Styela clava: one gene and its partners. The protein of the gene in region 2 purifies or fractionates together with the protein of the main gene of each other region. This does not show direct contact. Links are inferred from orthologs where the notes say so. Each region holds a gene or a part of one and is shown on either strand. Other genes may lie near its edges.

The links.
Region 1: the proteins of RNA cytidine acetyltransferase-like (region 2) and protein AATF-like purify together in Homo sapiens (affinity purification with mass spectrometry; 3 studies listed by BioGRID and IntAct, with this or other methods). This does not show direct contact. The link is inferred for Styela clava from reciprocal best matches to the Homo sapiens genes NAT10 and AATF.
Region 3: the proteins of RNA cytidine acetyltransferase-like (region 2) and THUMP domain-containing protein 1-like purify together in Homo sapiens (co-immunoprecipitation; 3 studies listed by BioGRID and IntAct, counting the BioPlex papers as one, with this or other methods). This does not show direct contact. The link is inferred for Styela clava from reciprocal best matches to the Homo sapiens genes NAT10 and THUMPD1.

Annotation. Positions count from the first base shown.
Region 1 is NC_135257.1:13,445,289-13,456,586, forward strand, and holds the start of protein AATF-like, read right to left. Parts: upstream 4,830-11,298; 5' UTR 4,776-4,829; coding exon 4,694-4,775; intron 3,625-4,693; coding exon 3,416-3,624; intron 2,852-3,415; coding exon 2,787-2,851; intron 2,692-2,786; coding exon 2,504-2,691; intron 1,874-2,503; coding exon 1,645-1,873; intron 1,252-1,644; coding exon 1,107-1,251; intron 1,005-1,106; coding exon 867-1,004; intron 389-866; coding exon 231-388; intron 1-230. Other genes in the region: protein Red-like, read right to left, coding at 5,449-7,035. UniProt on the Homo sapiens protein: Part of the small subunit (SSU) processome, first precursor of the small eukaryotic ribosomal subunit.
Region 2 is NC_135261.1:20,261,440-20,273,098, forward strand, and holds the start of RNA cytidine acetyltransferase-like, read right to left. Parts: upstream 5,332-11,659; 5' UTR 3,592-5,331; coding exon 3,392-3,591; intron 2,838-3,391; coding exon 2,666-2,837; intron 2,595-2,665; coding exon 2,472-2,594; intron 38-2,471; coding exon 1-37. UniProt on the Homo sapiens protein: RNA cytidine acetyltransferase that catalyzes the formation of N(4)-acetylcytidine (ac4C) modification on mRNAs, 18S rRNA and tRNAs.
Region 3 is NC_135260.1:12,201,243-12,211,879, forward strand, and holds THUMP domain-containing protein 1-like, read right to left. Parts: upstream 4,358-10,637; 5' UTR 3,805-4,357; coding exon 3,576-3,804; intron 3,323-3,575; coding exon 2,424-3,322; 3' UTR 2,053-2,423; downstream 1-2,052. Other genes in the region: uncharacterized protein LOC120347505, read right to left, coding at 540-794, 1,823-1,996. UniProt on the Homo sapiens protein: Functions as a tRNA-binding adapter to mediate NAT10-dependent tRNA acetylation modifying cytidine to N4-acetylcytidine (ac4C).

The DNA of each region.
Region 1 (11,298 bases), on a different chromosome or scaffold from region 2:
AGTGATCACTTTGACAAGACAATTTACCACCACAACACAAAAATATTTTATTTATTTTTAATAATTTAGGAAAGCAATATTCATGAATAGACATTCACTAAAACTATTGAATCATTTTCATAAAATTCATCAGATACCTTCAATGCATGATCAAATTTTATGAAAAATAAAAATTAATTTTCAATTCAATTAAATTTTTATATATGATATTGCTACAAATATGTACAAACCTCGTAAGTTCAACTGGATCTGATGAACCTCCAGGTCCTGATGATTTTTGTTCAATGAGTTGTCGAAGTAACTGGTGATAAAAGTCATCGTCATCATAGATTTCAGGCAGATATTCTTTTAAATGACTACTGTGGTTGTCGGCATCTTCAACAGGTGTCTATTGATTGAAAACAAAAGCTAAAGGGCAAAAAGCAACAGTTGACAGGGATGGGTGAAGTCAATAACATAGACCTGATATGAGTAAAGGACTGAAGCTTGGCACACAACTCTGTTCAATTATTCGTGCCTTCTTTGATCTTAAGGCAACATGATACTAAAATAAATTGTCTTTGAAAAACAAATATATTGTGAATTATATTTATTAGGACTTTCCATTTTTATTCCAAGGTAGAAATTCAATAAGACAGCATATCCATGTTGCGAACCAAAAAAGATTAATGCCCAATCACCAGTCCAGATCAGCTTTGGAAATAGCTGAGTTACCCGTAATTATTCGAGATTGATGGATACGGATGCTGAAGGAGTCAAGACGTAACCAGCTTAGGAATCCTTTCACACATAACTCCTTATACCAACATCTCAAACCAAATTCTGGACCAAAAATTTAACATACTAAACCACAATATTTCACAGACCTCTAGTTTATTAGACTGAGTCGTTCCCAGTATACGATAGTTCGTTCTTTTCAATTGTGTCCGCTTGATTAATCTTTCACGGTCTTGTAATATATCTTCTATCTGAGAAACTGTCGACCGTTCAAAATTTGAGAATGACTGAAATATAAAGAGTCATAATTGTTATGAAAGAGGTAAAGTAAAACATTATGATATTCTTAACTCTACAAATATGACGAATACTGATTTACGTATGTATACCTTTGATTTTGATGTCGCTGTTAATCTTGTTTTATCATACCACAACTTCAGTACTTTATTCCTATGAGTTTTATATGAAGTAAATCTGTCTTGGATCATATCATTCACCTCTTCCATCGACGTTGTACTTTTCCGCTTGTTATTACTATGCATAAAAAATAACAATAAATTTAGAGATGACTACCCACAACATTTCTATTGATGTGTGTCAGTCAATGGGAACATTACACAAGATATATCTCTTCAATGTGCACTGTGATTTTGTAGTGTCATTCAAGTCCCAAGCATTATAAAATAAATAGAGCAATATGATCGCATAATGTTACTGCTGCAACAGCAGATCCAGACGATTAAAATTTCAATATACCAGTGCAAAAACTTCAGATTTTGATGACGATAAACTTGGAGATACTTCAATAAAATTCATTATTTAATACTATTGAAAAAAACTAACAATTTCACATACTAAAGCTAACGTATCACTGAGATTTAGGTACCATGAATGTATTCAATTTAGGGTTTTTGACAATAAACATACCTGATTTTAGAATCTGCTATTGACTGAGTTTCAGGATTTTGAGTGAGAAGTCTCCTTTCTAATTCTAACAATTTGTATAAAAGATTAGACAAAATTTTATCCGCAGATGAAAGAGAAGCTGGTAATTCAGTTTTAAATAGTTCCATCTTATCATATTGAGGTAATCTGTTAGATATTGTAAGTATCTTCTGAAATTTGATTCGAGCTTCAAGCATATTTTCCCACAAACCTAAAAAATATAAAAAAAATTCTCAAAAAAACAAATTGAATTTATTCGCAAAGTCAAATAGTCAATATCTGTCTGTTCACATCTATCATTTGTTTATGTTTATCCTCGACAAAGAGCATCGATAACTTTGAACTAACAGTAAAAAGTGTGCTCTTATACAAAATGTGAGGTAAGCAAACAGAAAAGTTATGGCCCTACTACATTGTGCAGCAAATGAAATTTTAGCGAATATACCGTAGATAAGTATTGTACAATACATTCAGGTATCGTTTTCGTTATATGACGTCTTTCACTTTAAACAAAGCTCTATACAAGTCTCTATTACACCAATATGTAAACAGCTGCTTTTTTCTTAAGGACCTCAATCATTCACCTTATTACACCCTGAGTGAGGTGGTGATCATAGGTTCGAACCATGGATCTTTAATGCCAATATAGTTGAGCCCAAAACTCTAGCCATCATAGGGCTTCGCTCTAATGATATAAGTATGACCAAACAATTACATAATCCAATCAATTTGTCATTCCCATCAAAAATATTGTCCAACATTAGATGAATATTAGAATTAACCAGATTGGCAGATAAAACTAACAAATTTTAATTAATAAAAGAAACGTAAGTAATCTCACAAAATTGATTTCTAGTAGCTCTCGATTTTAATAATGGATCAGCCTTTTTCCTATTTTGAAATATTTTTAAACTGTCATCGCCATCTCCATCGGCTTCATCAGAATCAATTTCTTCATCCATTCCATCATCTTCATCTAGCATAATGTCTCCAACTTCACTATTATAGCTAGTATCACCATTCATTTCTCTGCATTAGTAGTGAAAAACATATTCAAATCAAGAATTTGGATACAGGATGTCAATAGATATAGAAAACAACATAATAGAAGTAAAAGAATATACCTCTCAATATCTTCATCAGTTTGATCATCTCCACTGTCAATATTTTCATCTTCAGCATTCCCATTCTATAAATAAATTGCAATTATATAAAACACATTCTAAAAAAGACATTTTTCATCACCCAAACTTGACAAATGATAAACTTTTGTCCTAGCACATGAATAAATACAGCCAACCTACACTACCAAACTATATTATCAACAATGACACGAGGATAACGATAAAATCAGGTAGAGATACTAATAAATAAATAAATGCTTTTTTAGACATAGTGAAGTTCAAGAAATGCAAAATTTTTTCCTTATACTCGGACAGGATCGAAACAGAGGATGAAAAACAATTATAGCGCAATTTTTATCCTAATTCTTGCTGTGGCTGCACACTTGCACAGACTATCTCGTCTATGATATGCACTAACTGGAAAATATTTTCAGTCAAAAACACCTCGACAGCAAAGATATTTGATATTCTCATAAAGACTAAAAACGATATTTGGAGGTCATGATATTCGAATTACAAAAGAATTCTACTATCGTACATGATTTTTCTCACTATTCTTGACGATACAGAATAAAACGGAAATGTAATCTAAATACCTTAATGCACTTCATGATAGCAACAATATTTACCTCCAGTTCAATGTTATCTTCATTGCCAGACTCACTTCCATCACCATCTGATGTTTGATTCCTTGATACAACTTTACCCCTATATAGCTCTCCCATGCCTTCGAGCGACTGCATTTTTCTTCGGCCAATTCCAGGAACATGTTGAATAACTGTTCCATCTTCAGCATCACTATTCAAATCATCTTTCTCTACAACTTTAGCTCTGGTTTCTAAACAAAAATTCTACCATGTAAAAATACAACAATTTTCATTAGGTATAGATAGTCGTAATATATCGTTTTACTTAGTTCGTCACTTCAATCATGGAGTAACATTTCGGTCAGATATGCTAAACCCATAAAGTACAGTCATTTCAAAACTGGGTAGCACATACAGTTATTAGTTTCTGGCATTACTGCATTATATAAAGTAGAAATGCAAATATCAAACAAAACAGATGATCTATATATATTTTAATTCAAGAAATTCAAGAACAAGGAGTCTATGATCAAGGATACAATTTTTCTAAACCAAAAAAATCTTCAAAACAAAATTGAAAGCCTTTTAGGGAGAAGTTTCAATCTCCGAATAATTGAAATGTGACAGTGATTCAGTAGTTGAAGAGAAAACAATTCAATTTATACCAACCACAATATTCACAAACAATGTTTGAGTAATAATAATAATACTGGGTCACTGGTTACAGCAGGGGTGCACAACCTTTTCTCGTTTGACGGGGGCATTACATTTTTGTAAAGCTGACTTTTTCAACGAGTGGCGTCATCGCGATCAGGTTTCGAACAATAACTTCTTTACATAAACGCCAAAAAAATCTAATTTCATCTGGAATTAAAGAACCGTTTCTCTGTTAACGATATCCCGCTTTAGAGATATGAAAGAATATTCAGAGCTGTTACTTTTTTATAATACTGATAATTTATTTCCATTACAGACACAAGTAATGATATGATTTTTCGTAACACTCAAGCGCCAACATAAAACATAAATTATTTTTCAGTAACACACCAGCACAGCTGCACATTTTACCTGCGAAAGCCGCATGCGGCCGTACGGCTGCAGGTTGTGCCCCCCTGGGTTATAGCGTTCAGTCAAAGAATATTATGAGTATGTAGGTACCCAGCAACTCAGTAGCAAGCCAAAAAACACCCCTAAATGGTCAGGTCTATTTAAGTCTTTAGGTGCCATAGCACAACCACAACTGTAGAAGTGCATCACAGTTTTAGCAAAAAAATGTGCATAAAGTGAACAGTAATGCATTGAGTGTTATATCACAAGTACCTTCATAAATATCATCTTCTGGGTCAATGCTCTTCACACTCGGATCGAAAAGCCTAGCAAGTTGTTCAGCTAAAGATGTCATGATGACATTTAAAATTGTTATGTATACTTTAAACTTGATTTTGTACTTGGTTTTCTAAATAAAAAAAGCAAACATTCAATAAACTGATAAAGGTCGATACCCTTCGATTGACATTATTAACAAACATTTATGAATGCCCAATGTAAAATTTCAGATAGTGGCAGTCTCCATGCATTTTAATGAATTTTAGGAGAAAAGAACAAAAACTCTTGAGAAAAGTGGGTATGTAAGTACTTTATTGGATTTTATCGTCACAATCATTAATTCAACAACTTTTTATTGTAACATTCAGAAAATTCAAACCTAAATATCAGAATTATGAGATCAGTTACAGAAGAGCATCCATTTGAACTACAGTACCAGTTTGTGGCAAAGATGTGACTAAATGATACAAACCACAATCATAATCAAATATAAGAAACTCCATTCAAAGGCAAAAATTCCAAAATATGCACTCATTAAAATAATACGGTTACGACAAATTACACATTCTATACTTGTCTATCCATTTATATATACACAAATCAATTTACAAAATAATGATATGAGAATATCACTTTTAACAAACAGACATTCAACATGATGAAAACATTGGCAAATACAGTAATTCTCACAAGTTCAACCTTGAATTTTTTTATGATCAAAGTAATGCTTATAACTTGATAATATATAGTTAATATTTCTTATAATTCGAATCTCCACCCTTTCGCTTTTCAATAATTTGATTGATTTGCATCAGTTCGCGATTCAATTTTTGTTTTTCATTCTGCTCCTTGGTTCGTCTTGTTTTTCGACCTCCTGTCATTTTTATTCCATACTGGAAGGCAGCTTTAGGCATTGCTTCTTTCTGAGACATGTAATTACTATATTCTTCTTGAGTATCAAAGTCCCATCTTCCAACTGGACCTTTCTTACTACCTTGATCCATTTTACTGTAATCTGCTTCATCATCACTATCGTCTCCTACGCCTGATAAATTGTATTGCGCTGATGGATAGCATTCCATGTAACTGTCAGATGCCCCCGCTGTGCCAATGAGTGGATTGCCTTTGCCAGACTCTTTCTTTTGCTTTTTAGTTTCTTTGGTTTGGTCTGGTTGTGACGACCCTGCATATTTTTCATTGACATTTTTTACAAAATTTTTCACTGAAGCAGCAACAGCTTGTTTTGATTCAACCATTTCTTCTTCCATTTTAGGTTTCTCAAAATAAGAATGAGCATTTTTTGCAGGCTTGCTTCTGTTCTTTTTTAGAGTAGGAACATATTCACCAATATCATCAAATATGCCCATGTCTGCTTCAATGGGTCTTTTATGTGGCCTATCATTTTCAGTCTTTATCTTTCTATCTTTCTTCTTTCTATGCTTTTCGCGAGCACCTTGACGTAAATATGACAATATCTGAGTCAGTTTATTAATAACAATATCGTTAGTTGATAATGTTGTTTGAGACTCGAGTGTTGGGCAGTCTGCTTTACTACGAAGCAGAGTAGTGGGAATATCTGTGTCTGCAAACTCATCATCGACTTGAAAAACGTACGCCATTCGTCCCGGCAAAAACAATTCATTTCTTAGTTTCATTTGAGGCTGGAAGACAAGTCTGTGTATGTTTTTTGCCATTTTTGTTTTGAACGTAACCACTTCTTTCTGTTGCTGCTGTTGTTCTTCTTTCGTGTTTTCTATGTCTTCAGATAAAACTTTATCAAGTTCTTCGTCCTCTCGTTCTTTTGTCGATATCTCAGCTCGAACCTTTTGTAAAAGAGCGAAATCGAGACCTTTTACCAAGTGAGTATGAGCCATGTCACCTCCAAGATATTTTGATTCTTGGATGACTTGTCTTCTTTTCTCAGCGGAAGTTCGGTCCGCTTCAGCACTTGGGCCAACGGTTTTGTAATTAGCAGTTGTATTGATAAGATCAGATTCAGCATAATCTCCTTTACCTTCTCTCCTCTCTTTTGCTCGATCTCTATATTTCTTTTGAAGTTCAGCCTGCCTTTCCATTTCTTGCTTTTTAAGTTTTGCATACAAACTTTTCTTTTTTCTTCTTTTTTCAGCAGCCGATTCATGATCTTCTGAATCAAATTCTGATTGGGACGCTGAGACTCGTTTTGCTCGATCATCGTGAGTTTTTTCACCACCAGCTTTAGGGGTCGTCAAAAATTTTCGAAAGTCTGCATTGGTTAGAGGTTGTTCATTAACATTGCCATCAGTCTCATGATAATGCTCAGGGGGCAGAGGATTAGAAAATTCTTCATTTGCCATAATGCTTTATTGATAAAATTAGTTCAACAGTATTTATAAAATATAAAAAAAAAAATGAATGGCTGAGTATTGAACTGTCACTGACATAACGGCGCGGCGTTGTGGCTCAACGGGCTAAGCGTTAGGAATACGCTCGCCACCGCACCTCTAATTACTCTGCGTGGGTTCGCAGGTTCGAATCCCATGCAGGGATGGTTATGTGCGAGAGGATTGCTGGACTTCTCGCCGTCGTTGGGTGGTTCACGTAACCGCTGGTCGGTTACGGCTTCCTCCACCACCAAGTCCATGCTTCCGAAAACAAACAATATAACTAATCCCATACCATACCCGACTTGGAATGGTAACCGGACGAGAGGCCGTGGTTCGCCATATGAATAAGCCTTCTTATCGGCTTTCCTCTCCCCCGGGATAAATAGGTAAATTCTATCCTATCCTATAACTGAAAGAGATTCCAGTTTAAATGAAGATGGATGGCTTAAACTTGTATATGCCGATTTCCACGCTTTGTCGCGTAATGCAATGGTGGTGAAATAGTATCGACACTTTGATTGTTCATTATCTTCTGTGCGAGCGTGCGCCCTTATTGTTGCGACACATTTGCATGGTCGCAAGATTGGCACTATCGCCATCCCCTTGCAATGCTTCTAATTTACGGATTCATTTGTATTAAGTCAAGGAAGTCACATAAATACAAATAGTCAGATAATAAATAAGTTAAATAAAGTCGTGCACTTTGTTACAAATTACAACACCCAATAAATTGTCTCATGTCTTAAAAAACGAGTTGATTTATTGGAAAAAATCCTTTAAACATTTTCACACTTTTGGCAAATACCGTATTTTGATAATGATAGTCAAAAGTATCGACTTTTTATTATGATGATTTTCCGTTGCGACAAAATATTCAAATTCATGAACAATAACAGCATTTAAAATGCCTTGTCGTATTAATTTAATTTTGTTTAATAATTAACCTAACTCGTGGTTGCGTCAACTAACGAAAAAATAAAAGTATTACCGACAATCTGCAGCATTGAATGGTGTGGTGCACTGGCCAATTATAATTAATTTTTTAAACCTATTACAGTACTTACGAAAAACAAATATTGATACAACTCCAAAATACCACGGCAATCTGTGGACATAAAATGTGTGGTTGACTGCCCGATTAGAATTAACTTTGATTTATTAATTCGTACTCACGGAAAAATAATAATTTTGATAATGATAGTTGAAAGTATGGACTTTTAACTAAGATGATTATATGTTGCAAAATATTCAAATCCATGACCGACAACAGCATTTAAAATGACTTATTGTTATTGTATTAATTTAATTGTTTTTAACGTAACACATAGTTTTGCAGACTCGCGAATAAATTAATGCATTACTACTCTAAGATACGGCGACCATCTGTGAACATAAAATGTGTGGTAACTGCTTGATTATAATTACAAAATACAAAAGCATTACAACTTTAAAATAACGCGGTATCTGTAGAAATATAATGTGTGGTAAAATGCTGGATTATAATTAATTTTTGATTCACACTTTCGTACTCACAAAAAAATAATTTATACCTTTACCCACTTTCGGCAAATAGTTTTGATAATGATTGTTAAAAGTATGGAATTATCGGTTGTGCAAAGTATTTACCGTAAATCCATGACTGATAACAGCATTTAAAATGCCTTCGTATTAATTTACTTTTGTTCGATGTAGCCTAACTCATCAATGCCTCGTCTTACGAAGAATAAAATGTTTCAAAATACCACAGCAATCAAAAACACAAAACTAATGGTAAACTGCCCTATTATAATTAATTTTGATTCGCACTCTCGTACTTACGAAAATAAAAAGGGCATACTACTATAAAATATCACGGCAATCGGCGGATATAAATTTTCTGGTAGCCAGCTTGTAGGTAACGGTAATTCCATTGTTTATTGTATGCTAATTCCGCCATAAAGATAAGCTTGCATTTATTTTCGAAGTATTCGAAACTTAAATAATAATTTTGAATGTATTCGAAATAGTAAATTATTCGGTATTGGCCATCCCTGATGCCGTTTGAAATTTGCTCAATTAGTTTCACAATGTTTATGATATGACAGCACAAAATGAATATCCATGAATGTGGAGAAGGGGCAACATTTTTTAATTATGACCGACTGCACTCCTATGGCCTGAAGTAACATCATTGAATCAAATGTCTCAATGTTAAATGGCGGATAAACAGTTCACCAATCTGCCAATAGGATATCTGTATAACTCAAAATAAATAACGCCATTTCAGCATTTGGTTAATAATTTCTGAATTTAGTTTAAATCAGAAATAGAGTTTGCTATTGGGGCATCATCGAATAGATAGGTTAGATTTTACGAGAAAAAGTTTAGGAATATCAAATATGTCCTGAAGTCACCTCAGGATTGACACGTGAAAAAATTGTTATGCTACGCCTACTAGAAGTACGTTAGGTAGGAAAGTAGGGTGGCTTACCCACTTTGCGACCATCAACTTCATCGATTAAATTAATGCCGAAAAAATTAACGAACCGCGACGATATTTCTCACACGTTATCGTCCACTTATCCCTCGTAGCTCTGCGAAAAGACACTAAAATGCGGCCACAAATAAAAAAGTTACGACCGAAAACCTGACCGAAGAAAAAAAACGGACCATTTTACCATGTCGCCAACTACCCATTGTTCCCTCAAAAAAGCTTGAAAATCCATACAAATATAAGAGATAAAGAGATGAAACTTGGCAGGTGGGTAGAGTTGTGTTTCTTTCAACCATCTTTAAAGTTTCGCGTTTCTACCTTCAAAGGAGGGGGAGTAGGGGGGTGCGCATTTCCAATACGTCAATAATATCTTTGTCAACTAATTTGCGACCACCGTGTTTTTGTCTGTTTGATTGTTGTGATGCGGTGCTTTGTTTATAATTTGAAGAATTTTGTTTGAAATAACCGTGTTCTTAAAATATATAACGGTCAGAAATGCAATTAGAAGCCCATTTTTTCACGCATGGCTGCGTATGCCCCAGTCTCGACACAGCAGAAACGATGTTCAAGGCTTGAAATCCGTGATCGCACACTGGTCGTTCGGTCGCAAATACGTCTTCAGAGTGTCGTACTTTGGTGGTTTGTATAGCTTTAACCCCTGGTCGTAGAAAGTTAATTCGAAGTTCAGCGTGTAGAATAAATGCCAATGCACTTACGGTGAAAAAATTAACGGGTTAGAAATATTGGTTTTTGTTTTATAGCGGTTTGAATGAAATCGTCCGCAGATTGGCTACACCACCCTACATGAGACCCTAATTTTTCTAGTAACACTAAGTGTAAATAATGACTTACAATAACTTACTGTATTCAGATATTAGTATGTACCATAGCCCAGTAGTCTCATATTACTGTACCGGTATTACAGTATTAACTGCTGCTGTTGCCAGACTGCAGTATTGTGATCACAACATGCAGATATGCATACCATACACCTCTGTGAAGCTAGCAGCAAAACACGAAATTGTGACTGACAGAATCGCAGAAAATACCCACGCGTAAAATTAAATGTTCCCAATGATTTTTATAAGAAAGTGTATATTTTGATTATTTTCACAATAGCAATTAAAGCAAAACAATCATTAACTACACTCCTCGTATTGTTAATATATGGTAAACAAGCTAAAGCGACTGTTACAGTGCACAAAATTTTTTTATAATTCTTTGAGAGATGTTTAAAAATGACTGAATTTTCGTCGTGTAACATGGTCGTTTCATGAAAACCTCCAATAAAGGCAGCATTGCAACACCATTGGTGAAAAGTAGAAACCTCAAAGATTCGATTTCAATATGTCAGAACAGTCTCAGCACGTTTTGACTTGACCATATATAATACTAAACATAGCGTATATTCTTCAATTTTTAAAACAATGTATATATAACAAATTTGAAACTGATTTTGTATTTCAATTAAAATTACTGGATAGTTCATCAAAGAAGATATTTTTCTCTTTGTCACACAACAATAATGCACTTCATTAAACTTAGAATAAGTTGAGTAAAGTCTGAAATACTGAAAAAAAATTTACGCCCTCTTGTGGATTCTTTGATAAATTTCACAAAGTTATCGTTTTCGAAAGGGCAATTTCTCAAAAACCGCCAATAAAGGCAGCACTACGACACATTCGAAGAAAAGCAGATACCCTATAGATTCGATTTTAATATGTCAGAACAGTAGCAGCACGTTTTGACTTGGCCAAATA
Region 2 (11,659 bases):
CCTGGTGAGATTCTGTGCGAAATCGGGAATGAACATCCTGAAAATAATTGTATGCATGAATAATGTATATGAATTTGTATTTATTTGATTAACATTTTCCATGGTTTTATCTCTAATGAAATCAGGGGCGCAGCCAGGGGGGAGGTTACATGGGTCGTAACCCCCCCCTTTGGGATCTTTTTTTTTTTAATAGTGTTACGTTTACTTGCAATAATTTTATTCTTCGCGTTATCACTTTCGCCCAGCGTCCTAATTTATTATTTATGTTTACGATTCGTTATCGCTGTTACGCGGCAGTGGATCTAGCTGCCAGCGGGGGGTCACGGAAGTGACAATCTACACTAAACATTTTTAAATACAAATGTACTACCTTTCACTTGACACAAATAGCAACGGACGTATCACACTATTGCCGTCAAAACTATTCCACAAGCGCGCTCTCGCCTCGCCACATTCAACGCAACCATACTTTTAATCACATACATTATCGTTGGTTATCGGCTTATCGCTAATTACGAATTTTAGTTATGTAGTGCATCTTTAACAAGCGATGGCACCAGGATCATAAGCAAATAACAGACAAAATGAATTATTGGAAATGTATGGTTCATTAACAAAGGATTGCCAAATGTGGCAGCATCGAAAAAAGGTGTCATAAAATAATATTCAATCTTCGAAAACAAAGCATTGCAAAATAATGTTCAATCTTCGAGTAAAAAGTATCGTAATATAATGTTCAATCTTCGGGAAATTTTTTTTTAAAGAATAATGTTCAATCTTCGAGATTTTTGGGTAGCAAACTCGTCCAAGACTCGTTTGGAATCGTCTGTCTGCGAAAAGCAGTTACATGCGTTGTCTTCCAGATCTTTTCAATAAACTGGTAACAATATGTTATTAAATTATAATTAAATTATTATAGTTAAATTATCGCTGAAAGTGAAGAAGCGCTATGATCAGAATGCAGCTATCACGGGCGCGGGATTTCAAATTCGCGACGATTTCACTTTCAGTAATATAGGTCTCGATGCATTGCAATAAAAATTAGAATTTATTAACAGTTAATTGCAACAAGCAAGAGTTTTACATTGAAAGACGTTCCCAATCAGTACGATACATGAGCTTGTTTTTAAATGATTGTAATCGTTTTATGAAGTTATAAATACGGGAACATCAAATATATTTATTTTGGAAATGGATTGATATTTCGTGACGCACTCAAAAATAGTTTATGAACCATTGGCATTTGGCAAATATCATTAATTTATGCTATTTCTTAATGTTTCATGATTGCTAATATTTCATTCTATTCTTATTTTACATTTTTTGCGGTATTTCAATTAAAATCATGACGATGGCATTTTATTTAACTGTTGACAATGGGGTAATAATCGGCGATTACTAAAAGGTTGAAATGGGACATGCCAAAACAAAATAAACGAATTGACGCCTGTCAAAGGGGGCAGGGTCTGGCGACAAATAGCCACATGTGTCTGTGTTTCTCTATCATCGGCATTTTCGGCATCACTTTGAAACTCTAAAACGCAAGGACACCCCGCGGAGTGAAGACTTTCTTTCGCATAGAGAAATATTTGAATTACGATTGCTGAATAAGCGAAAAAAACAAATGCTTATTTTCTTGCTTGAAACAACGATAAACCAATTTAACCCTGTTGCCAAAAGTACCGGTAATAGCATGCATTATTAACAAACTGGTAATAATATGTTGATAAATCGCCGCTAAAAGTAGAGAAGCGTTATGTGCAAATATCACAGGAATTTGAATTTGCGACGAATTCACTTTCAGTAATATAGTTAACGGCGCATTGAAATGAAAAGTTGATTGATTTTTTTTGACCAAAGAGAATGGTCGGCGATTGCTGAAAGTAGGACATGCAAAGAAAGGCTAATGAGACACAGCGACGCACATGTTGTTTTGCCATCGTCGGAACATCTTTTTAAAGACCTATAAACGCGTTTTTATTTCACCGTAACCCCCCCCTTGAAAAAATCCTGGCTGTGCCCCTGAATGAAATCAATTTGTTTTGCATCCATTTGTCATACACCTCTACTTGTGCAGATCTGTTATTTTGCAATAGCATTTATATTAATAATAAGTTGTTTTTTAATTAGGGAATTTAGTTGAAGGAGAGTCTCCCAGGGAAACGGTGGAGTCTTGCTACAAACTGACACAACTTTATTTCTGTAACGTTTTGTCTGACCTTGAACATTACAGAAATACATTTGTGTTAGTGTGCAGCAAGACTCTTGAATCACTGGGAATAGTTATCCTCACTTTTTTCATAGCATCTTTGCATTATATGCATATGAATATACCGGTGTTAAAAGCACAGAACGTTTAGTAGTTAGGCCCGCAGAAACCCAATCAATCACATAAATTTTTTTTCTCTGCTTCACAATTTATTCATACAATATTCTTTCTAGTCGGACACAAAAGCAAAAATAAAACTCACCATCGTCATTGTGTATAGCTGTTTAAGAGATTTCATTGTTCTCATCAATATACAAATTATTCCTCCCCCTTCAACTGTTTCAATTGTTCTCGCTAATAAATTTGGTGTGAGAGCTTCAAAATCCTATAATAATGGAAAATCATTATTAACATGTAACACAACAGCATATTCACCTTTTACTCAGCTTAGGTTACCTGGAGTATACACATCCCATACGTATTTCCAAGAATTTTGTGTGTTTCATTGTAATAACAATATCGAACATTAGTAGCAGCAACGAACAATTCAAAAGGATCATCTTCATTCACATCAATTGTTCCACGAGAAATTCTTTTCTGCAGATGTCTCATGCGCTTCTTACGATTTCTGCAAAAAGGTTCCTTCATTAGATATAGTCTCCTGATACTGTTATAACTCAGTTTTTTACTCCACATATTTTCGCTAACAGAATTTGTATGAAGTGATGAAAATACTCTATAAACTTTATATTTTTATTTAAGTATATCAATGGCATGCAACTATTTATACTACACAGACTGCCAAATCATCGACGACTCGTACTGTAACTAACAAGAGTGTTTTGTAAAATAGTGTTACATGATATTGACTATTGTACTCTTTAATTACTGCTAAGGTGCTTGACAAATCGGGCAAACCAGACCTTGATTGCATTGAACGATGAAGTATTTCGGACACTGACTGGTGTCGAATTCAAAAATGTTAATAGTGCTGTTACAAATAAGAAAAAGTATTCATAAATAATGGGATACGAAGTCTGTTATTGGTCACGTAAATAGGTTCTCTTGGACGTACCTCGACCCCCTGGCAGTATGTTGCACGCCTCTGGTATAGATCATCGCACAGATATATTTGATGACAGTAGTATAAATATTTAAATTACACGAATAAACCATACTTACGTGCTGAATCCGAGCTCTTTTTTATAGCACCACAAAACAGATGGTCTTGCTCTTACTGCAGCTTTTGTTAACATATGATGAAGAATAACAACCTGATCTCTTCCTTTATCACCAACAATTACAAACATTGTTCGATGCTTCAGAGCGACTCCATTTTCAACTAGAACTCGAATTCTGTTGTCAATCTTTTTACGAACCATCTTTGTATACTCTTATCGCAATGCTAGTAATGACAGAATAAATAAATTGTGATACTCGTCTGAATGAAAACTAATTTAAGAAAAAATAAATAAAAAGTGTTTGTATCACAGTACTAATATCACCTTTCTACCCAATACTTGAGAGCAAATTTTCATGTATATAATGAAGCCAGGAAAGATATTGAATTGGAAAAAAAAAAGTTGGCATAACGGTGTGTATGGCAGTTTGCTTGCCAGGTAACCTAATGAAAAAAGTTGAAAAGTATACAACAATACAGTACAGATTCTCAGATTCCAAGAATATCCCCACATTAACGAAGTGCATCTGGAAACGACACCATTAGATTCCTTGAAAAAAATAATTAATTTACCGTGATTGATTCAAATTTTCATTTTAACAAGCGTGGCGCGATCTGACACATCTGCCGTCATGCCTGACGCCCTTGTTTCAGAGACAGATGGAGTGTTCGTTTTACTGATACCAAATGTCGGAGTATTTTGGAATCGGAAAACTGTGCCTTACTGGATTCGAATTAAGAACTGAGGAAGGAGAGAATTAGCATATTTATCCCGCGATCATGTGAACTACTAGTCATCCAGTCCAGCGATCTTCTCTCCATTCTCCAATATATTTATCCCCAACGAAATTCGAACCCATGCATGGTGAACACTAGTGCGCGATGGCAAGTGGACCATATTCAAGTATTCATAAGGCATAGCATAGGCTAGATAGAATCCATTTTAATTCATTCGCAAAAAAACAAGACAATACAGATAGCAGGATAGACGTGTTACCGCACCGAAGAAGCAGAACAAGTCGCAACCCAAACAAAAAATACAGACAGTGCAGCAGTGAGTCATTACTCACACGTCTCACTTCAGAACTTTGTAATCCGGATGGGTGAAATTTAATTGGGGACAAAACATTGCACTAAATACCGAAATTTGGAAATAGCTGATGCGCATGCAGGCGGAAAAATCATTTGTAGATTCAGGGAAAATATAATCGAAGTGTGAATGCATGTTTGTTTTTTATGCTTGAGAATCAAAAATAAATGTGGTAATTACCATACAGTACAGCAGTAGGGTGGCCCACCCACTTTGCGGCCACGACCTATTTGCGTCCATCAACTTCATCGATCTAATTAATGCAGAAAAAATTAATGAACCGCGACGATATTTCTCACACGTAATTATCCACTTGTCCCTCATAGCTCTGCGAAATTACACTAAAATGCGACCACAAACAAAAAAGTTACGACCGAAAACCCAACCGAGGAAAAAAAAACGGACCATTTTTTCATGTCGCCATTGTCCCATTAAAAAAACTTAAAAATCCATACAAATATAAGAGATAAGAAGATGAAACTTGGCAAGGGGGTAGAGTTGTGTTTCTTTTAACCATCTTTAAATTTTCGCGTTTTTACATTTAAAGGAGGGGGAATAGGGGGATGCGCATTTCCAATATGTCGATAATATTTTTGTTGACCAATTTGCGACCACCGTGTTTTTGTCTGTTTGATTGCTGTGATGCGGTGCTTTGTATATAATTTGACGAGTTTTGTTCGAAAGAACCGTGTTCTTGAAATATAAGACGATCAAAAATGTAATTAGAAGCCCAATTTTTTTTACGCATGGCTGCGTATGCCCTAATCTCGATGCAGCAGAAATGATGTTCAAGGGTTGAAATCCGTGGTCGCAGACTGCAGCACTGGTCGTTTGGTCGCAAATACTTCGGTGGTTTGTATAGCTTTAACCCCTGGTCGTAGAAAGTTAATTCGAGGTTTAGAGTGTAGAATAAATGCCAATGCACCAGCGGTAAAAAATCAACGATTTGAATGAAATCGTCCGCAGACTGGCTACACCACCCTAGGCCCCAGACTGGATTCCATGGCAGATGCACGCCCGAAGGCGCTAGCGCTCCACAAAAATGCACGCGAGCGAATTCAATTTTGCACGCCGAAAATTTGCAATTGCTCACCAATGTAAATCGGTTTAAATAGTTTTTAAATCAATAATCTAGTAATACTGTAATATAAAGATGCCAAAAAATTACAACTTTACAATTGTCGACTAATACTTGCTTGCAAGATTTGGCCTGATCGAAAAATGCGAACCAAAAAACACCATATCGTGTTGAATGATAGGAATCCCGTGAGAAAAATCGCCTCCTCACGCTGGCCAGTTATGGCTCTGATTCAGCGTATTTTTAATACAATAATTTTACACGAATGTACTGAACAGTACCGGTATCTAAAGTCGCACAAACACTCTCAAAATTAGTGACAAAATATAGAAATGATGTTTGGGGGTCATAGGTCAAACGTCCATTTTTGCTATGATTCAACCTATTTTTTATCCAATACTGGTAATTTTACGCGGATGTATTGAGAGGTATCTTAGGTCGAAATCAGTTTAGCGGGCTAAGTTGTTTTGCACGCCGTGAGCTTTAATTGCACGCCAGAAATTCTTATTTGCACGCGGGAATTTCTGATTGCACGCCCGATTTCTCGTTCGAAAAGGCCATGAAATCCAGACTGGCCTAGGCCTAGTATTAACTGAAACGTTCAAACAAAAATGTAAAAAACGATAATAATACCTAATAAAATACCTAAACTAGAATGGAGAAACGATTTCGGCACTGCAAAAACAAGATTCCAGGCTATGTCTCGAGCGAGTTCAGAAGTTGTTTGCGACACCATGCTGCCATGCGCAATTCCCAACATTAAACTCAATTGAACAAGACTGCAAGATGTACCTGTAGGCTGTAGCCTACCATACATACCGTATATCCCTAACACATACATTCAAATACTATTTTTGTTTATTGAATAAGAAACACCAAATTGCAGAATTGAGGTAGTCTATTGCAAAATTGCATCCTAGCGCTAAAGCGTAAACAAAACTCCCCCGGGATAAATATGTAAATCCTATCCAAAACATACGAACAAATGCGCACATGTCTGCATGTGGACACCAGACATGCTTTGCCTTCAAGCGCAGAGAACAACAACAAATTCATTGCCGGGTTCAAAGGTCGTTTTGCTTCAAAGGTGGGTTATCACGCAAACATTTTTGTGGCAAATTTGATTCCATATATTTTTTCAAGATTTTTGACGTTTACCGCTTGCATTAAGTAGACTTCGTTTGCGAGACTCAAATTTTTCAATAATCGATCCTGCCGAAATCGAACGCAAATTAGAATTTCCCGTTGATGACGTGCATTTGTTGTAGCAATATTACTATCATATTTTCCAGTTTATTAATTACGGATTAACGCATACCAGGCTATTTTTTGTCTTAAATCATATAGATTTTATATTTTGTGTGGGTGTATTCTGCTTTCCTGATTATGTAACCAGTCCCTTTGTTATACTGTCGGCATATATAGACTATATTAGAATTGGCCCAATGTGCTTTCAAACACTAGCGAATGCGTAGACTGCAAAATTCACAGTGATGGGTTTCTCCCGAAGCACGAAACAAGAAGGAAACTATGGATTAAATCTTCTCAAATAACCTGTTCTAATGTTTCCTTGGAACTAAAATACGAACTCTAATTTGAAGGATCGTTTTAGCCTTAAAATTACGTTGAAGTCCTTATATATTTGAACATAATATTATTTTGACCATACAATATGACGATATAAATAGAATAGGATTTACAAATTTATCTCGGGGGAAAGTAAATCCGATACGACGGCCTAATCATATGGCAAATCACTCCTCTCGTCCGTTTACCAGTTCATAACGGGTATGGGATAAGTTAATCAGGTATTCAAATAGGATAAGATTTATATATTCATCCGGGGGAGAAGGGAAGGCCATGATACGGCGCAATCATAGGGCGAACCACGGCCTCTCCTCCGGTTACCAGTCCATCGGGTATGGGGTTAGTTAGCCAGTTTTTTTTTTTCGGAAGCTTTGACTTGATGGCGGAGAAAGTCATAACGGTCGTAACCGACCAGCTCTATACAGCGAAGATGAGTCCAGCAATTCTCTCGCACATAATTCGAACCTGCGAACAAACGAAGGATAATTAGCGGTGCGGTGGCGAGCGTATTCCTAACGCTTAGCACGATTCGCCACTCGGCCGAGAATTCTGAACATTTCAACGACTAAAGCTGTAAAAGCTGAATGGATCAGGAAATGCATCTACTTGGTCCACGAACTGATCACAAAAATTACAGCCAGTATTAACTACAGCATGTGTATTGGAACCATCATCATTATTCTACTCAACCTGCCAGAAATGATTTTTCTGCAGCGAGGGTATATGAAAACTTGAGAATATTTTAGGTTCCATTACATTTGAACCCGTGTACATTTAAACCCACGTACATTTGAACCACGTACATCTGAACCCACGACAATTGCACCTGCATACCATTGCACCTATGGAATTTTTTTTGTTTTACGGATATTTGAACCCATACCAACCCTAACCCATGGGTTGTAGCACCCGCATATAGATTGAACCCGCGGATATACACATGGGTTCAAATGTACATACTTCAAACGTACGTGGGTTCAAATGTACGGTCACCATATTTTACAATATGTTGCGGTCCGTATTGACACTTTGACCGAAAACAGGATTTCATATATTGTTTTTGCTTCGTCCATTACACTGCGCTTTCCTGCTTTCCAGATTGCTGTTCAATTCAAAAACAATGACTATTAAGTAACATGATAGCCGTAGAGGGAGGGAAAAATGCAGGGACAAGAGGCCGACCGCCGTCTGGTGAGGACGTCTACTTCGAGCCAAAGATTTTGTTGGACATGAAGTCGACTCGTTCATCGTTTCGAATCGAACAGTTTGTTGAAGTTTTCATAGTTTTGCATTTGTCTGGATATGAAGTGGACTCATGGGTTGTCTCGACCCGCACAGTTTGCTGAAGTTTTTATTGTTTTGTAATTTACTGGATATGAAGTGGACTCATGGATTGTTTCGACCCGCACAGTTTGCTGAAGTTTTTATTTTTTGGCATTTGCCTGGATATGAAGTGGACTTATGGATTGTTTCGACCCGCATTTGCTGAAGTTTTTATTGTTTTGTAATTTACTGGACATGAAATGAAATCGTGGATTGCTTCGACCTGTACAGTTTGTTAAAGTTTCCATTGTTTTGCATTTTACTGGACATGGTCATTATGTAGCCTATCTTCACTAAAAAATTGCACCATATGACAATCACGACCACAAAAAATCTATTGAATTTTCTAGTTCTTACAAGGTGTTGACTTGTTCTTCTTTTGATCGATGTTTGCATGTCTTAAATTGATTTAAAAGTTATTGCCCAATTCTGTATCGTGTTTTTCATTGTGTTATCTGACTATTTTGGTGGACGGGCATGTACTTGTACGTTTTGAACTTTGTTCTTAAGTTATAGTCGTCCTCCAGGTCCTCTGCCTTTTATTGTTTGTCCGTTTGTTGTTGTTTCGTTTTATTCTTTGGTGACATAAATAAAATTGATTAAACAAGCCTCAACGCTTGTCGAATCATCCATAAAATTCTGCAAGATGGGGTGGATCAATGGGTACAACACTCATATCTTTGGTGCGATATTATCACAGGAATTTTCGTATACGATGTGGCGGTTAAAACAACCAATGTATTTAGGGAAATTTTTATGATACAGTATTGTTATTTAAAACGAGTTTTAATTTACATTTAATTTTTAAATCACAATTTACATTTAACCAATTGTGACGCGCGACCGCGCTGTATTGGTATAAAATAATTCATATTATCATTGTCCATTTATTTTACACACTATTTAGCAGTGGCGGGGGGCAATAGGGCCAACCGGGGCAATGCCCCGGTTGTTTTTTCGGTATAATAAAAAATATTCGAAAAATACCTCAATATCGGTTGCACAGACTGTCTACACTAGCCATATTCTCCCGACATGGTTCATTTTTCGCTCGCAAAGCCTTCGCAGAACGTCGACTGGGCGACGCCGATTTTGCCCCGGTTGCTCATGGTATATCGTATTCTCTCTTTTATCTTCCACTCGCCGCGTTTGTCTCGTTTGTTTTCTGTTTCTTTTACTAAATCACCGGGGCTAGCCCCGAAATTATGACGACACAATGCCGACGTTTCTTACAACAACGTGTTGACATATTCACGCATTCCTTCTCGTTCGTTGGTTGCTTGAAGAGTTGATAGTTTTCTCGCCTTCGTTTTTGTCGCTTGTTTCGCTATTTGAATCAGTTAGAGACCCTTAGTCCATTTGCTTTCGATTTTCCACATTCCTTTTGAGCTCCTCACTTCTTTCCGGCTTCGCATTTCTTAGCCTTAGACCTCATAATGAAGAAGGTTGATGCACTACTTCGCACTCCGTTTTCGCAGCTGCCGCTGGAACAAAAATTAGAGGTACAACGTCTTGGGCCTTATCAACCGAAAAATTGTTCACTGGAACAATCCCATGACGGAGGAAAGCGGCGGCGTACATTCTGCGCAGAAACTTGGTATAAAAAACACGAATGGTTGTGTTACAGCGAGGACAAAAATGCACTTTTTTGTTTTTATTGCCTACTTTTCGCTATCGCCCGTGACTCACGTTGGTGTAAATTTGGTTTTAGAGATCTTAAACATCTTTCCGAGCGTGCCAGGGATCATCAATCTTCTATGGAGCAACTGGACAATACAGTAAAATACCGAACATTCGGAAATGTTAATATTGCAGCACAGTTGGATGAAGGACGCGCGGTGTCTATTCGTCGGCACAACCAAAACGTCGAGAAAAACCGCCATGTTCTCGGTCGATTGATAGATGTTTTGAAGTTCATTGGTTGTCACGAGCTGTCCCTCCGTGGGCACGATGAACGGGCTGGCTCTTCTAATAGAGGGGTATTTTTGGATATGGTGGAATACACCGCATCCCTAGATACAGTATTGAAAGATCATCTTGATGCCGCAACTGTTTCGAACGGGACATCTAAGGATATCCAAAATGATTTGCTCGACTCAATGTATAAAATTTATTTACAACATTTGGCTCTAGAAATTGAGAATTGCCAGTTCCTTTCGATTCAGTCTGACGAGACAACTGACATCACGTGCGTTTCCCAACTGGCTGTGATTTTTCGGTTTGTGAAAGATGGTAAACTTACCGAGAGATTTCACAGCTTTGTACCAATCGTTGATCGCACGGCTTGCGGGATATCGGCTGTACTGAAAGAAGTGTTACAGCCTTACAACGCCAAGTCAAAATTGATAGCTCAAACTTATGACGGCGCGGCAGTCATGAGTGGGTCGAAACATGGTGTTCAAGTTTATATAAAAGAAGATTTTCCTCATGCGCATTTTTTACATTGTTATGCATACCAATTTAACCTCGTTATTAAAAATATGTGTCTTGATACCCCTCTCGTCCGTATATTTTTTGCAAATGTTTCGGGGTTTTCTTCATTTTTTTCCGTTTCGCCGAAGCGCTCTTACCTCCTTCGCCAGATATGTAGCCGCCCTCTTCCAGCTTGTGCACCAACACGTTGGAACTTCCAATCACGCGTGGTGCAGGGCGTGTCCGAAATTAGGTCTGAGCTCATTGAGTGTTTCAATGGCATTCAGAGCTCTCCGGTTTGGGACGAACGCTCTGTGAGGGAGGCGGCAGGTCTAAAGCGTCTGCTAGAAGATGGTGAGTTTTCATTTTTTCTCGCTTTTTTCTCCACAATATTCTATCACGTGGATGTATTATACGGCGCATTGCAGTCAAGGCTAATGGATGGAGCGTAGTGTAGTCGTGTATTTCAGACTTCTGCGATGCTGTATCTCGTATCCGGGAAACAATAGAATACGACGACACATGGAGTGCTTCTTTACGCCGCGGGCAAACAACGCAGCGTTTGATTTTGTCTGCCAGTGAATGCTGTGACATTCTGGTGAATCAAATAGGCGATCGTCTGCGCACTGAACACCTTGCCGCGTTCTCTTTGATGAACCCCAAAAATTTTTCAAAATTTGCACGTCAATTTCCCATCCATTTGTTGGCTACTGTCTCCAAATTTTACCCCATGATAAAGAAATTTATCACATTCACTTATGGATCCTGAAAAGCAAAAAT
Region 3 (10,637 bases), on a different chromosome or scaffold from region 2:
AAAAACAAAAAAAAGATGAAGTCTTCAAATTGACGATATTTTCAATCTTTGTTATTGGTTTACACTAGATCAGTGGTTCTCAACCTTTTTTCTTCCTTGGCCCACTTTCGTTGCACAAAAAAATTCTGTGGCCCATTAACTTTCAATTGCAAGAAAATCAAATAATTCTTTCTGCAAAGATAAACACTCCCACTTTAATAATTAAAATGGAAATTAATATTTGATAGCAAAAAAAAAAAAAACCTGAATTATCGTTCATTTCTAATACAATCAAATTTGGCTAATTTATTAATAAGTCCAACAATTTTTAAGAGATTTGTGGCCCACTGGTTGAGAACCGGTGCACGAGATAGTGTTGCAAACATTGTTACTCCTGCAACACAATATTTAAAAGGAAGCAAGCAAAAAAGCCAGTCTGTGTGTCCTCTTGTGTATGGTTCCAGCCCTGGCTTTGGAACCAGCAATGGGACTTCGTCGCATTCCATGTGTTTTTTCCTAGTGTTAGATCTCATTAGAAAATCCATGCAAGCAATGGGTCTTCAGTTAGCTTGTGGTTCCCTTTCTCCCTTACATTGTTTTTCATCCATTTTCTTATATTTCATGATGTCAGAAAACACATTGGACATTTTACCAACTTTTTTGGTAACAGGTCGGTTGGGAGTACGTCGTGGTGTAAATTTCTTAACATTATCTTCAGGTTGAGTATCAAAGTCAAACTCAGTTACCTCAGATGGTACTTTTTCTGGAGTTTTTTCCAATGTTTCAGTAGTTTCAGGAGACAATTTTGCTGATTGCTGTTAAAACAAAAAGGATGAATCAGTGTTTACTGATGAAAAATGACATAAGTAGAAATAGGATCATATATTCATCTTGGAGAGGAATTCCGGTGAAACGATCTGATCATATATTACACCATCGCCTCTTATCCACTTGCCAGTCCAAGACAGGTAGAGAAGTTCACCTGTATCAGATGCATGGACTTTAATGGGTGATTAGCTGTTACATAAACCATCCTGCAACAGCGAGCAATCCATCAATCCTCTCACACTGTGTGTTGGACTGATGGCAAACACATTCATACCGCTTTGGCAGTAGGACGTAATCATCAACCTTCAGTAGGAGGAGAAAATGTACGGTCGACTCCAGACTCTGGGTTAAAATGAATTTTAGGCTCGACTCTGGGTTGTAAAAATTTAGAATTTGACTGTAGCTCTCAACTCGGAAGAAAATCAAATTTCGATATCAAAAACTTTTGCGTTTGCAAGGCTTTTCAACAGATGTTAAGAACGTTTGGTAATTTTGTGCATAATTTTGAGTTTGACTTATTTTATTATCATTGAAAATCGGTAATAGCCATCCTGACCCTTGGTAGTTACTAGTTAGAAAATACAACACCGGCGTTGACTCCAGTGAAAACACTTCGGACTCCGCAGCTTTGCATACAATGATATGAAATACAATGCTCTGCAAAGTGAATATATGTAGTCCTGAATAATATTTTATTGCATAAGATAACTTTTAAAACAAAATTTGAACAATTTTTTCATTTGAAATATAACTGGCTAACCATTCCCCAGCCAACATGGACTGATAACTGGAAAAAAGTCTGTGGTTTGCCATATGATTAAGCCACACTATCAGCTTTCCTCGCCCCAGGATAAATAAGACAAATTTGATTGGTCCATGCTTTCCGTTGTTGTCGGTGTCGGATGAAAACAATTTTATAGTAAGGTGAATACAGTCTCATCAATATTTTTAAATACAATATACTAGGGATAACTAAAAAATTCAACATTAACCTGGTTACACATACTCAACTTACCGAAGTTTCAGAATCTGGTTTTGCTCTGTTATAAATAGAAGCATCAAATCTAGGAATCTCCCCTTTCAGTATAGCTTCATAAAGATTGATCATAACGGATGGATCAGAAGGTTCATAAAATTCATTGTTCCCAGCATTTTCATCATCACTACACAAAACTTTCCATTCATCCATCTTTCGACATTACAGAATTAAATTCATAAGCATATAAATATTCAGAAGTAAAAGAACTGGATCAAAAAGAGAAGTTAAAACAAGACTTATTCTCTCATCATGATCTGTACTGTAATGATAAGCAAAGTATATTATAAACATTGCTTCTGTTTTGAGAGCAATTTCTCACAAAAGAAAGTATTTGTAAGTGAAATAAACTCAACAAACTACAGTGGTAGGTAAAGGATAAGTATTAATTAATGGTAATACATGAAATATGTTTAAGACAAAGCAAATCGAAAATTTTCGCAAAGTTAATCAAGATTCCAAGTACTCCCATTCGACCTAGCCTTTTTCTGCCAGCGCTTGCATTGACCACAAAAAATTGAAACAGTTATCTGAGCAATATTATTTCAAAAATAAAAAAATGTTTCAAATGTCGAATAGGTCATTGTGGGAGTTTGTTATTTTCATTAGTAATATTGACTTGTTCTACACTTGGCTGCAAGTTAGATTTTTCAATTTCTGATTCAACTTTTTCTTCTTCATGAACAGCACATGATGGATTTTTTACAATTAAATCATTTTGCCCAACTAATTCGACAAGGTCATTTTTGATCGACATACATTTCTTGTTTCCATCCCCATTCGCTTTATGACTTATATCATCAGCAGTTACACTGGATTCCACAGAAGTAGTAGGTTCTTCTTTTCCGTGAATTTTTGATATCACATTAGAACACAGTAGTTCCCTAATATTATACTTTTTGTAAAAATAATAATTTTTTACAACAGAAACCAAACATACAGTCTTCAGAACGTCAATAATAACTGACACTGTTTGAGATCTGCAGTTATATTTCCAACCACATTCCGAATCCCGCATTTTTTCATAAAGTCCATCAAGAACTTCCTTGCGAGATAAGTGACTATTATTTCGACACTTATACTCAATAGTAAATTCTTTTTTCATAACATCTTGGAAACTTTCATCCTTAAACTTATTTTCTAGGAAGGTAGGGATATTCTTACACATACTTTCAAGATATGCAGAACAGGAAAAGTCTATTGGATGCATCCTCAATACGTTCCTTATTGCAGGTAAACTGTTGTCAGCGTTGTTATCGTTTTGATGAATTGTTTTCACAACTCTACTCAGAAAAGGTCCAGGACTAATATCTTTATGAAATCGAATAAAAATCAGGTTATTACATCCACTTTTGACTGCTGTAAAACGCCTTTGTTCCGAAGAGTTTCCTTTAGCAATGGATTTAATCTCATTCACTTCATTAGATAAAATGCTGGCAATATCTTCATCTTCCGATTTGCTTTCAGCACCATCATCTGCTAAATGAAACAATTTCATAAACAAACACTACAATTCTAGAACTAGGTTTTCTTCAAGTTTTGATAACAATATATGACACATAATAAGGTATTAGAATTAAATTACCGCTCAGATACATGGGCATGCAAGTAACAATACAATTGCCAGATTGAATGTAGTATAAAAACTATAGCATATTTCTACAACATTGTAAAACTTACTAAAAGCCAAGTTTATATTCATATTTTGTTACTTATTCAAATTTTGATTTACCATTTTCACTCTCCTTGTTCAACTTTTCAGGTCCAAAATACTTGTCCGCGAAATGATTCAGCAATCTAAAAGAATCGAGTCTGCAAAACTTCTCTTTATTACGATCATGTGATATGAGAACTCCTTTCATTCCTGCCTCAAGTTTTGAATATCCCCCACCACCACAATATTTTGCTTTTTTCCCCTTTCGTATCGACTTATTGACAGCAAACTTGCGTTTTTCAGACATCTTACCAAAGTTTACACTCTTACCTGGATTATGGAAAAAATTGCCAATGCCAGAGTCAAAACGATTTGTGTAAAGTTTGTTAATCGGTGATCTAACAGGAATTGACCAAAATACATATAATACAAAAGCACAGAACAAGATAATAAAGACAACACCAGAACATAAACAAAGTCAGAAAGTAGGCACAACAGCACAAAGACAGGAAAACATAAAGAAGGAGCTGTAATCGGAACAAAGAAGTTTGGCTCTTGGGATGAGATTTTCATATCTTCCGCAATGGAGAATAAAGATGCTCAGACGGCTTGGCTTAATCATATGGCATCCCACGGTGTACAAACTCACGCAGCTCATGCCCAGTTACAATACCGGTACGGTAGCCTACTTGTTTAGGGATCCATGGCAGTTATTTAAGTTTATTTCGACACCATAATAAGCAAAAAACCATAGGCTGGTAGGCGATAAAATGATTGATAAATGCAAATAAATAACAGATAGACTACAATCTACATGAACTTTACCATGCCCATTTGCCCCCAATAGAATAATAGGCAACATACGGTACAACAGTCTGACAGTACATAATGAAAACAATACTGCAATACCGTATAAACACAAGATACTGAGACTGCGAGATGGTAGCGGGGTCTCGTGTAGTTTCGTACTCAACATACTTCTAGTGGGCGTAGCATAACAACTTTTTGATATGTCAATCCTAACCCCCATCTGACTACGCCAAAAATTACGTCACTACGACATCACAATCACGTCATAGAGCTTGGCATCGCCCCGACAATAAAGAACTGACTACTAAACGGTTCCATTACATTTGAACCCACGACAATTGCACCTGCGTACTGTACTCATGGAATTTTTTTTTGTTTTACGGGTATTTGAACGCATACTACCGGAAACCCTAACCCATGGGTTTTAGCACCCGCATATAGATTGAACCCCCCCCCCCCATATACAGATGGGTTCAAACGTAAATATATACTTTTAAAGGTGCTCCCGAAGTATGCGAACCAAGATGGCGGACATCGGAACGTAACATGGGTAACAGGTTAGGGTTAGGCGATAATTTTTTTCCAATTTTCCTTATTTTAGTCCTATTATCAGTTCGAAGACTAGCCAAGAGCCTCCCGTAGTATTTATACCTAAAATTATGGCCTAACCCTAACCTAGTACACATATTACATTCCGATGTCCGCCATCTTGGTTCGCATACTTCGGGAGCCCCCTTTTAAATGTACGTGGGTTCAAATGTACGGTCACCCGACTAAACACTAACGTCATTGATCTCTCTCCAATTTTGATCGTTGCGACGAGAAAACGAAAGAAATAGCTGTTTGAAACTACATGAGACTCCGGTACCGCCAGTCGTCACTTCAGACCAGAGCCATCATATAACGGCTCTGGTCAGACCGCACTAACAGAACTAAAAATATTTTACTGTAATATAAACGTACATGAACATGAACTGTATGAATGTTTTGAATCAAAATGATAGTTTGAAACAAACATATATATAGGATATAGCAGTATAGGCTGAACCAGTTTATAGGCGCCAACTCGCGAAATCACTCTTAATAAATGGGCACAAAATTTTTTGCAACGGTAAAGCATAGTTTACCATGGGTTTGGTATTATATATACGCTTTGGGTCTGGGAAAAACTGTCCGGGGGTCAAAGGTTGGGAAAACATCCATACGGGTCCTAACATGAGCATGAAATGTATCATTCCAGTCCTTAAGATCATCAGGTTCCCAATAAAAAAAGACCCTTGGATAGTAAAAGATATAGCATATATATAATTTTCCTGTAGATAAATTAATGTATTTAGTATTATTTTCTTACCTCTATCAAAGCATAAAGGCGACGTAAATTAGCGTAATGATAAAAACAGTGTAATTATCAATTCAAATGTTAATTTATTGCCAGTTGAATGGCATAGTTTTTCAAATTTGAAAGAATTTTGTTTTGTTTGAAACAAGAATGGACCTTTCCCCGAGCAGCGACTTCCTTGTTTACTTCGTGACATTGGCCAATCAGCAAGATACAAAAAATGACGTAACAATGCCCCCTTTACGCATCCGCTCAGACACTTTTCTCACTCAGACAGATTTTCAAACGTGGTTGTAAACATTACCTCGTTTTCGCGTTTTTGAACTCTATTCGTTAGTTTTCAGTTGTGTTTCGGAAACTGAAATAAAAATCAGATAATTCAATGATCACTCTGTCTTCCTAGGAGTTTAAATTTAATTGCAGTAATAAAAATTAGTGTAGAAATAGCTGTGATAGACTAGCATGAAATTCTTTACCGGTACTTTTAAAACACAGATTGTTGTATGCGATGAATCATAATGATGGTTTGAAACACATACCCCATTTTACAGGCGCCAACTCGCAAGAGCACTCTTAAAATATCCCTGAAAATTTTGCAATGGTAAAGTATAGGAAGAATTTTTCGGGGGTCAAAGGTCGGGGAAAGGTCCATAGGTAACGTGTTTATAAAAAAAAAAAACTAATTTAGTTTTAAAGCATTTTAAACCTGTTAAATTCTGAAAGACGCATTAAATTTGAAAACGAATGAATTGAAAAAGACCCAGTCGTTGAAAATGACAGATAGTTCAAAAAGCCCTATCGTCTTTTTCCGGAAATAAGACCTAGCCCGGAAAGAAGAACTGGCCTGAATTTTAAAAATGATTTTAATACAAGAGAGCTACGCACAAATATATGGACACGTCAGACCAGAGCGAATCAGTCCTTACCCGTACCTTTGACGCTACCGGTACCCTCAAAAAAGTTCTGAATTTCCAGTAGCAAGAATTTTGCAGAATCAAAACGTACAGCCAGTCATGACACTGACTAAAATCCGTGTTCCCATGTGAGACGACCACGTCTATAACCCTGTTTTATTCTGTTCGCTCATATTTATTCTTACCACTTGAGTCACTAGTGAACAACTGTGTAACTTTCTCTTGTAGCTGGTTTGTCAGACTGCCGGCAGTGTAGATATTCCTCTATATATTAGATTATTATTATAGTGTTCAATGCCGTAAATCTATGTAATTCTTGTTGTAAAATGATATTAGTAGTACAGGTTTACTATTTCTCTAGTTTGACATAGCTCTGTTCACTAGTTGGCTTGTATTTACCACTTCCGTAACTAGTCTACTTTCGCAGTTTATTTCCTGTGTGATTTCCGTATTTCTATGCGTATTTCCATGTCTATTACGTGTTTGTCGATAAGATAGGATTTGTGTTGTATTTTTAGTGTCATACTAGTTATTCTTATGTATATCTAGGTATGTTTTACCCGGTTTTTGGTATCCCATTATAAGTAAATAGTTCATGACTGTGACGTCATAGACTAATTCCGTATCTTGTGTTACGTATGTATCCTACGGTATTTGTACTGTGTTTTTCATGTTTTTATTTGTTTATTGTATTTCTGATTGGAGTATTTGGTTGTATTAAGTTCTTACAGGTGTATAATTAATCTAGTTAGTTAACTTCTACTCTTCTTACTCTGCTGTGGTTGGAACCGCAAGAAGATTATTTTGTGATCGACATCTATTGCAACTTCAGTGTCCAAGAAGCTGGCAGAAAGAACCTGAGTGGTGATATCAATTTTGGTACGCCACATATACGAATTTTTGGCGAGCACACGCCAGGATATATTATTTGACACAGGGACTATTAAGACTAAGCCGATTAGGTAGGCTAGTCTGTGACGGATAATATTTGGACATTTGAGGTTGCCGAATTTTTTTTCAATTGCGGTTGCCTGATATTTTGAAAAAATGGTTAAGAGAAGAAAGATTGTACCGGCACCAAAGGAAGCCAAAGAGGAGAATGAACTTTTGCATCTGCAAATACAGGTATTGAAGGCGAAATTGAGGGAGTCAGAGGAAAAGCAAGAGGAGACTGACAGCCGTTTGCAACTGATAGACAGTCGTGTGCAACAGATTGGAAGTCAACTAGAATCAGTTGAACTCCAGAATGCGAAAATTGGCTCATCTTTTGAACATGTTTACAACATGCTGCAAGATATTTCTGGCGTGGTTAAAACAGGAAAAGTTGCTGATTCTGAAGAAACGCAGCCCATGTCACATGTCCCAGATGTCAGCTTGATCACTTCAACACCCGCAACGGTTGTTCCAAAAGCAGCGCCTGTTCTCAAGCATGATGAAATTTCTGATTTTGGATCAGAAGATGGACAGCCAGAAGTGAAGCGGAACGCGTTCTCACAGACATTAGAAGTGAAATTTTTGGAGAATGGTCATGTGAGTAACCTTGCACCTACAATTCCTTTTTTGAATGATAATGGTAATGAGGGCACAAATGTCAGAAGGCAACTTAGTACTAGGCCGAAAATGGTTACAGTGGCTACACAATCAGCTCCTCCAGTGAGCGCTAGTAGTGTCTCAAATGCCAATGTTAGCCGTAGTGTTCTCAATAGCACAGCTAATGCTACGATGATGGCGAGAAATGCCAAAAAGCCAATGTATTTCGATGGATCCACTGTCATGACGTGGCCCAGTTATTTATGCCATTTTGAATTGGTTACCAGTTATAATCAGTGGGATGACGACACTGCAGGATTAGAATTGGCTACTTGCATGACAGGTCAAGCTCTAAATGTGTTGAAAGATTTACCAGATATGAAACGTACTAGCTATAGTGATATTGTGGCTCATTTTAATCATTATTTCAAACCTGCCGGAAATGCGAGCTCATATCGTACTACATTTCATTGTCGTAGGATTAAGCCAAATGAAGCGCCACGGGATTATGGTAACAAATTGAAAGAGCTTGTTATTCTTGCTTACCCAAATCTTGATATTGCTGGTCAAGATGATATTTTGAAATCGCAGTTTCTCGCCGGTTTAACCGATGAAAGCATGATCAAACATGTTACCATGCAACAGCCTGATACTTTTGAAAGTGCACTGTCTCTTGCAACGCTGTATTACTCTGTTGATACTAACCACTCTGAGAGAAGAGACATGCCTAAACCTCGCATTGCCGCAGTGAAACAGAGTAACACTGGTGATGCAGCTAATCAGCAAACCGACCTTTTTCAGTTTCTCGAGAGCAGTTTTGAGCGACTTGTAGCAAAACTGGATGAGATCATAGGATATGTTAAGCCACGCGCTAACATCAATCGCAATTTTGATGGTGTACCACGCAACCCGTGTCCTCGATGTGGTAAACATGGTCATTGGGGCAGGGATTGCAAGGCATGTTTTAATTGCAAGCAGACTGGTCATCTTAAACGGGATTGTCCACATCTTCAGAATCCCGCTGATCCTGCAACAGCTGCTTCCTCTTCGACCGCAAATTTAAACGACACTCAGCGGGCTTGAGGTCCTCAGTGTCCGCTGAATTATTACTTGATGACGGACCAACGAACCAGAATATAGACCTGAATATTTGTTCCTTGCAATATGACAATAGTTGGCATGCGAAGGTACTTGTAAACAATCAACCGTTCAATTTTCTTGTAGATAGTGGTGCTATGACTACTCTGATCGACATTTCCATCTTTGAGGCTATAGGTGGGAAAGGAGCACAATTAGCACCGCTCGAAGAATCTCTTGTTGCAGTGGGAGGACATGATTTATCACCACTGGGTACATTGGAGGTTGATTTATCGATTGATTCGTTTGTATCACGACGCACTGTGATTGTTGCCAACTTAGGCACGACTAATGGTATTTTAGGCATGGATTATCTCCGAGAACATGACTGTGTTCTTTACTTATCATCTGGACACATGATGATAGAGGGTCATGAAATCAAACTGTTTACTGAAAAGTCTGTACCGTGTTGTCGTGTAACTGTTCGAGAAGATATTACTATACCGCCATATTCTAAGGTTGTTATCCCTGCACGACTTAGTCGCCCATGGCCGAAAAGCATTGTGTCTGACGTTGCAGCTCTTGTCGAACCGTTGAATTCTTCTTTCCTTGCTGATGGCGTTCAGCTGATCTCTTCTGTGGTGGATCCTGGAAAGTCCACTGTTCCAATTCTTGCAGTCAACCAGAAAGGCAGACAACTTAAGATCAGGGCTGGATCTTTGATTGGTATTGCACATCCTCAACTTGTAGCACAAATTCAAGTTGACGAATCCGATAATCGGGTTATAGCTTCTGAATTACCAGAACATCTACATGACATGGTCAATTCCGTTGAGGATCTAACCCCGAGTCAACGTGAACAGTTGGTCAATTTGGTTTGTGAATTTCATGATGTATTTGTAGGACCAGATGGTGAACTTGGCCGTACTTCAGCAGCAAAGCATAGGATCATCACAACCACACCACAGCCGATTCGGCAGGCTCCTCGTCGAATGGGGTGGGAGCGTAGGAAGATAGCCGAAGAAGCTGTTGATAATATGCTGGCTCAGGGTGTCATAGAACCCAGCGATTCCCCATATTCTTCTCCCATTGTCCTAGTTCCCAAAAAGGATGGTTCTACCAGATTTTGCGTGGATTTTAGATTGCTTAATGACGTCACATACAAGGACGCATATCCCTTGCCGCGTATTGAGGATATCATTGAGTCCTTAAACGGAGCACAATGGTTCTCAACTCTTGATCTCGCTAGCGGATATTGGCAAGTGGAGGTTGATCCTGCAGACCGTGAAAAGACAGCATTCAGCATCCCAGGCCGTGGTCATTTTCACTTTGTAGTGATGCCTTTCGGTTTGACGAATGCTCCCGCAACATTCGAACGGATGATGGACAATATCCTTGGTGATCTCCTGTGGAACGGGTGTTTCAATTTTCTTGATGATGTTTTGGCTCATGGTTGTGATTTCTCAATGG